Canis lupus familiaris: one gene and its partner. The protein of the gene in region 1 purifies or fractionates together with the protein of each later gene. This does not show direct contact. Links are inferred from orthologs where the notes say so. Each region holds a gene or a part of one and is shown in the gene's direction. Other genes may lie near its edges.

Evidence for each region.
Region 2: the proteins of G6PD (region 1) and HARS1 fractionate together in Homo sapiens (co-fractionation; 3 studies listed by BioGRID). This does not show direct contact. The link is inferred for Canis lupus familiaris from reciprocal best matches to the Homo sapiens genes G6PD and HARS1.

The regions. Positions count from the first base shown.
Region 1 is NC_049260.1:123,409,364-123,413,173, reverse strand, and holds part of G6PD (glucose-6-phosphate 1-dehydrogenase), read left to right. Parts: intron 1-2,223; coding exon 2,224-2,261; intron 2,262-2,346; coding exon 2,347-2,455; intron 2,456-3,045; coding exon 3,046-3,263; intron 3,264-3,810. UniProt on the Homo sapiens protein: Catalyzes the rate-limiting step of the oxidative pentose-phosphate pathway, which represents a route for the dissimilation of carbohydrates besides glycolysis.
Region 2 is NC_049223.1:34,955,885-34,959,133, reverse strand, and holds the end of HARS1 (histidine--tRNA ligase, cytoplasmic), read left to right. Parts: intron 1-1,279; coding exon 1,280-1,396; intron 1,397-1,570; coding exon 1,571-1,721; intron 1,722-2,031; coding exon 2,032-2,108; 3' UTR 2,109-2,452; downstream 2,453-3,249. Other genes in the region: DND1 (dead end protein homolog 1), read left to right, coding at 2,855-3,128. UniProt on the Homo sapiens protein: Catalyzes the ATP-dependent ligation of histidine to the 3'-end of its cognate tRNA, via the formation of an aminoacyl-adenylate intermediate (His-AMP). Plays a role in axon guidance.

The DNA.
Region 1 (3,810 bases):
TTATTTTGGGAAATTTCACACATCCACGAAGTTGACACAATAGTGCGATGAGGGACGCCTGCGCGGCTCAGTCGGTTGAGCCTCCGACTCTTGGTTTCGGCTCAGGTCGTGATCTCAGGTCGTGGGATCGAGCCCCGCATCGGCTCCGTGCTGGTTGTGGAGCCTCTTGGGATTCTCTCGCTCCCTCTCCCTCTACCCCCTGCTCGCTCACTTGCTCACTCTTAAAAAAAAAAAAAAAGAAAAAGAAAGTACAATGAATGGCCGCTGTCCATTACCCAGTTCCCACGACATTCCGCCTCTTGTTTCGCCCACTCCCCACTCTCCGCTCAACTGTTGTTTTTGTTTTTCAGGGTTTTTTTTCTTGGACAAAACTGAAATGTGTTGAAATGCACGAATCCTAATGGTGCAGGTTAAACACCTTTATCACAACATAGGACCTTTTGGGGCACCCGGGTGGCATAGTTGATTAAACATCCGATTCTTGGTTTCAGTTCAGGTCACGATCTCAGGGTCCTGGGATCCAGCCCCGCGTCGGGCTCCACGTTCAGTGACGAGTCTGCTTGAGATTCCCTTTCTCCCTCTCCCTTTGCCCCTTCCACGTGCGCGGTCTCTCCGTGTCTCTCCTCTCTCTCTCAAATAAATGTATTCTTTTAAATTAAAAAAAAATCAACATAGGACTTTTCATCTCTGCAGAAAGTTCTTAGACGGCCACCCCAGTCAGTCCACCCCAGACAACCAGCGATGTCATCTTTACCAGAATAGATTCGTCTTGCGTATCCTAGAGCTTCACTTACAGCTTGTCCACCTACCTGGAGCCTTTGGCTTGTCTACCCCGCGGGGACACTGAGTTGAGGCTGCTGTGCACGTGCATGTGTAGACGTGTGCTCCGCATCCCCTCCAACACTAGGTGTGCTGCTTTCGTTTGCATTTTCCTGACAACTGAAGATCTTGAAAACTTTGTCGTGTGTTTGTTAGCCATTCGTTTCTCTTCCCCGCAAAGTATTTGATCAGGTTTTTTTCTTTTTTTTTTTTTATTTGATCAGTTTTTAAGTGGGTTTTTAAATTTTGCTGCAGGAGTAGGTTATGTTTCCAGGTTGCAGACGGACTCGGCCTCAGAACGGAGTTCCATCTTTCTGGCTTTGTGGTAGCCCCCCCACCCCCACCCTGGGAAAGCGATCTAGTGCCAGGGTCAGTGTTGCCCTTGCCTTGGTGGAAAGGTTTGTGGTCACAATCCAATTTCCTTCATGACCATTGCCCACTCGGGTCCCTGTCTCTGTTTGGGTAGGTGGCATTTTTTTAGAATTTTGCCCATTTCATTGAAGTTGTGTTTTCCTGCTTGTACTTGTGTTCTGTTGCACCCCTAATTCCTGGCACCTTTTAAAAAAGTAGTCTCGCCAGAGGGTTGTCGGTTTTTCTTCAGCTCTTTCAAACACCAGCTTTTGGATTTCTTGATATTTTCTTTTGGCTTATTTTCTATTTTATTAATTTATATTTTTTCATCATTTCCTGCCTTGTAACTTGCTTGGCTTTGGCTTTCTAATCCTACTCTTTTGTCTGAAATTTTTTTAAGAATTTTATTTATTTATTCACGAGAGACACAGAGAGGGAGGCAGAGACACAGGCAGAGGGAGAAGCAGGCTCCACGCAGGGAGCCGGACGTGGGACTCGGTCCCCAGGATCATGCCCTGGGCCGAAGGCAGATGGTCAACTACTGAGCCACCCAGGCGTCCCTCTGTGACTTCTTAAATCGGACACTAATAAGCTCATTGGCCCCGATCTAGAGGCAGCAGCCCAGGGCACACCGCATAGGTTTTGCTCTTTGCTATTTCTGTTGCCGTTCAGTTCTAGAGTCTTCCTTCAGATTCTCTTCAGCCCGTGGGCCTTCGGAGGTGGGCTTTGGGGCCTGGCTGTGCTTTCCTTGCTTACACTGTGACCAGAGACCGTGGTCCGTGTGATCCCAGGGCCTGCAGGTCGGGCAACAGGCCTCCTGGCATGAGGTCCGTTCACCTCGAGGTGGCTACCGCGGGACGCGGGCGCTGTCACCTGAGTCAGGGTGAAGTGCCAGCGCAGGCTCCCATTCGAGCTCCTCCTGCTGCTTGCACGGGCACGACAGGCACGCTTGCGGCCCAGTAGGGACCCTGGGCGAGTGCCCAGGTTGAAAGGGAGCAGACCGTCGAGGTCGTGCCCACGCTTCTCCTAAGCACCCCGTTCCCTCTGCTGCAGGGCGACCTGGCCAAGAAGAAGATCTACCCCACCATCTGGTAAGCAGCGCCCGCCCCGAGTCCCCGTGTCCCCGTGTCCCCAGCCCTCCCCATCCGGCCGGCCCGAGTCATGCTCTGCCCTCAGGTGGCTCTTCCGGGACGGCCTCCTGCCTGAGGACACCTACGTCGTGGGCTTCGCGCGCTCCCGCCTCACCGTGGCCGACATCCGGAAGCAGAGCGAGCCCTTCTTCAAAGTGAGCGGCTTCCGGGGGTGTCCGTGAGGGGCGCCCCTCCCCTGCCTTGGTGGAGGTGCTCCCGCCCTGGCGCTTCTCACCCCCGCCCCCCCCACGCACCCGGAGCACGCACGCTGCCCACAACCCACACAGCCGTGCGCCGCCCGCCCCTGCCACTTTGATGACCCAAGTGTCATGGAGCCCGGCGCAGGGACCCTGCCAGCTTGAGGCCCCGTTCCCCAGCGCTCCCAGGGTCCTCCCTGCCGTGCCCCCCACACCGTCACCCCTGCCAGGGCCAGGAGCTGAAACAGCATCATCCCACAAAAATCACAGAGCTGCCTCTTGCCCACACACCAGAGGCTGGTGGTGTGACTTCAGAGAGTCCCGCCGGGTCACACCTCCTGAAGTGCCACCCCTGTGTCAGGGCCCCAGGCCCCCCGGGGGGTGACTGCAGGCCGAGGGCCCAGCCTGGGAGTGCTGGAGCCCGTGTCCCGCGTGGTGCTGCCGCCGCCAACCCCGTGGGCCCGCACAGCTGATGGGAGGGGGCTGGGCTGTGGGGCGGGAGGGAGGGCCGGGCCGCGTCCCTGTGTCCACCTTTCTCACTGTCTCAGGCCACAGCAGACGAGAAGCCCAAGCTGGAGGAGTTCTTTGCCCGCAACTCCTACGTGGCCGGCCAGTATGACGACGTGGCCTCCTACGAGCGCCTGCACAGCCACGTGAACGCGCTCCACCAGGGGCCGCACACCAACCGCCTGTTTTACCTGGCGCTGCCCCCCACGGTCTACGAGGCGGTCACCAAGAACATCCGCGAGACCTGCATGAGCCACACGTAAGGCTTGTCCTCTGCCCTCCTGCCTCCTAGGCGGCCCTGGCCCCGCCTGTCGGGCCCCCGGGGCGAGCGTCTGCGGAGTCCGCAGCAGGTGGCGACCCGTCTGCTCTCTACCTGCGTTAGCCCTCCGAGGCGCTGATGGGGTCCCCGTGGGGGGACGCGCCCCCCCTCCCCGGCTCCCTCCTGGCGATCCTGCGGCCCCTGAGCCAGGAATGCCCCTTCCCCCAGCTGCTCCCGCGACGACCACGGGGGGGCGCTGTTGCTCCACGAACCTGGAACCTGCTGCCGGCGCTCTCGGTCCTTCGGGGGCGCTGGGTGCCCTGGCGGCCGCGAGGTGGCGGCGGCGCTCGCGGGATTCCGCCACCTCCAGCCCTGGCCGTGCTGGCCCTGCTGCTGCTTTTTTTTTATTTTCCTCTTTTTCTTTTTGTTTCTCTTTTTTTCTTTCTTTTTTTTCTTTTCTCTTTTTTCTTTTTTTCTTTTTTCTTTCTTTTCTTTTTTCTTTTTTCTTTCTTTTTTTCATTATTTTTTCTTTTTTTTTCTTTTTGTT
Region 2 (3,249 bases), on another chromosome or scaffold:
GAAAAGATGGTTGCTGTGTTTAATGGACTTCTACTCCATTGTAGGCCAACTTGATGGATCTTGGATCCTTCATTCTCCCCAGAATCCTTTCCTCTGGGTCCCTACTTCCCTCAGCACTGTCGGAAGTCATGGGGTGGTATATCCAAAGACATCAATCTTCAGAATACAGAATGCTTAATATTTTATTACTGTGTGCTGGGCACTGTGCTTAGTGCTTTTCATGCATTATCTACTAAAATTCTTGCACAGCCCTCTGAGAGTAGCTACTTTTATTATCTGCATTTTGTAGCCAAGGGAACTGAAGCACTATAAGTCATAATTTGCCCAAGGTGGTGAAACCTTTTTTTGATATTTTATTTATTTGTTTGTTTGTTTATTATTTTGAGAGACAGAGCACAAGTAGGGGGAGAGGCAGAAAAAGAGGGAGAAGCAGGCTCCCTGACAAGTAGGGAGCCCGATGCAGGGCTTGATCCCAGGACCCTGGGATCATGACCTGGCTGAGCCACCTAGGTGCCCCAGCTGTGAAACTTTTAAGTACCAGGGTCAGAATGCAAATCCAGGCAGTCTAACTCCAAAGTCTTGCTCCTAACTCCTCTGATATCACCTCTAAGTGGTAAGCATGTGTTTTAGGCCTTGGGATTCTTCAGATGGCTATCTTGACTCTCTAGCCTCTAGAGGGAAGGCCCTCATGACCTCAAGCACTCCTTTGCTGCTGCTTTTAACTGGCTGGATGCATTTCATCCCCTGGGGAATGCTCTGGCAGTAATCTTCCCAGTGCTCCCATCCTTTTCTCTGGAGTGGAAACCATGTTTCCCAATTGAGGTCAGTGTTCCAGTAGGCATTGTATGTTGTTAAGAACTATGAAAATAGTTTACAAGAAAAAGACAATGGGCAGCAGCAGCAGCATTCTCTCTTTACCCCTATCCACCCATACCCTGGGTTGGGCCCTATGACTGAAGTATAAGAGGCACAGTCCCTTGACTGGGCTGATAGTATATGGGGACCGAGTGAGTTCACAGTATCATTTCTATGTGAATATTCTCATGGCCCCTTAAGGTACTAGAAGGAGACAAGTTTGAAGTTATGTACATAAACTACCTTGGCTCTTGCCCTTTGTTATCTTTTCTGGTAAGCTATACGTACAAGCCAGGCAGTTCGTTTCTTATACCTTCTAGGAGCTACCTTATGCGTAGTTGATAGGTCAGAATCCTGACAACAGCCTGCTCGCTTGGCTGCTTGAAGGTAGCCCAGCTCGGACTCTTATTTGACCCTTCCCCAGGCTACGGAGGAGAAAGTACGGACCACAGAGACACAAGTGCTTGTGGCATCTGCACAGAAAAAGCTGCTGGAGGAGAGACTAAAGCTTGTCTCAGAGCTCTGGAATGCTGGGATCAAGGTAGAGGAGGCCAGTTCCAGGGTGGCAGTGAACTTGGGAGTGCTGGGCACAGCCTAAATAAAAGCTCATCCATAGCAGCTTCGTGGAGGAGAGCTAAGAGCACGTGGGCCCCAAGGAAGTTGTCCCTGAGAACAGTAGAAGCCAGCCTTCATCTTCTGCCCTGGTCCCCTGCAGGCAGAGCTGCTCTATAAGAAGAACCCTAAGTTGCTGAACCAGTTGCAATACTGTGAGGAGGCAGGCATCCCACTGGTGGCCATCATTGGTGAGCAGGAGCTCAAGGATGGGGTCATCAAGCTCCGATCAGTGGCCAGCAGGGAAGAGGTAGGTAGGTGGCTAGAGAGGCTGAGGGAAGGGGAATGTATGCCATTTGGGCAGGCTGTGCTCATTCAAGACCCAAGCAAAAGTCTGGAACTCATGTTAATACCCACTCGGAAAAGACTAAAGGGTTATTAACCTGTTACTATTGTCATAGTAGGATAGGAGTCCCATCTGCAACCATACTTTGTGTCTCTGGCTCCTTTGCCTGCATTCCTGCTCCCAGCTGAGCCAAGCCTGGTGACTAGAGGAAGGAGTGGGCACTTGGGAGCAGTGGAGTCAGAGATGCTCATACCATCTTCTTTACCCATCCTGGCCAGGTGGACGTCCCAAGAGAAGACCTTGTGGAAGAAATCAAAAGGAGAACAAGCCAGCCCTTTTGCATCTGCTGAGTTGAGCAAACTATCAGGGGAAAGTGGGACTGGCACTATTTGTGGCTAAAACAAGACTCTGCATATGTACTACGAACAGCTTTGCACACTTCTTTTCCAGCAGGAAGACCTCCACAGTAGTCAGAACAGAGATTTTTTATTATGAATACTTTATTGGTAATCACGGGCAAAAATGGCCAGGTATTACACCATTTTTCCATAAGAGATCCTGGGGGCTGAGTCTCTGCTCCAGGGATGGAGCCTAAGTTGGTCTCCCCTGCAGGACCCCTATGCAGAACCCTGACCAAATGGAGGGAATGCTCCCCACAACCAACCCTTAAAGGTCCAATAAAATGACTCAACCACTGGAGCTTGTGTGTCACTATGGCCTAGCCCTGCCTTCTCTGTGGGAGCTTGGGCCTCCTATTCCAACTACTTGAGCGGCGAAAACGGGGGGAAGGGGCGGGGAGGCTCTACAGTAGACCCCACGGGCTCTTCCCCAGGGTGAAGGGTGCCCTTGAGGCTCTTGCCTCCAGCGCACATCCAAGCCCTAGGAGTTGGGGCTGGTCGCACACTCACCGGTTTAGGTTTCTAGCTTTCACCTGAAAGTCAGGTTCCCGAGGCGCACGTGCAGTGGGTACCCCCACCCCCTTGGAGGGCGGGGTCGTGCTCAGAGCCAATGAGAGCTTGCGGGGAGGAGGGGTAGGGAAGCTTCCAGAGGCCTTTGGGGAGGAGGTTATAAAGGGGGTGCCGACGGGCAGCCGTGAGAGTCATGCAGTCCAAGCGGGAGTGTGAGGTAAGTGGCTGGCAAGGGGGCTCAACAAGCGCTAGCTGCGCAGGGGGTAGTGGCTCCTTGGGCTGCAGTTGCCCAGTCGCGGTGGGGACGGGCGTGGAGATCCGCCATTCCAGCCTGCCGTTTCCCCTTCAGCTATGGTGTGAGAGGGTGAATCCTGAGAACAAGGCGGCGTTGGAGGCGTGGGTCAGGGAGACGGGCATCCGCCTGGTGCAGGTGAACGGGCAGAGGAAGTATGGCGGGCCACCCCCAGGTACGGTAGTCCCAGCTCTACGCCCGTCGGGCTCCACCAGCCTCGACGGCCCCGACCGGCACCGCCTGGGGGAGGGGCCTGCCCCAGCGCTCTGCAGTCGGAAATCCCTTACCTATCCGTC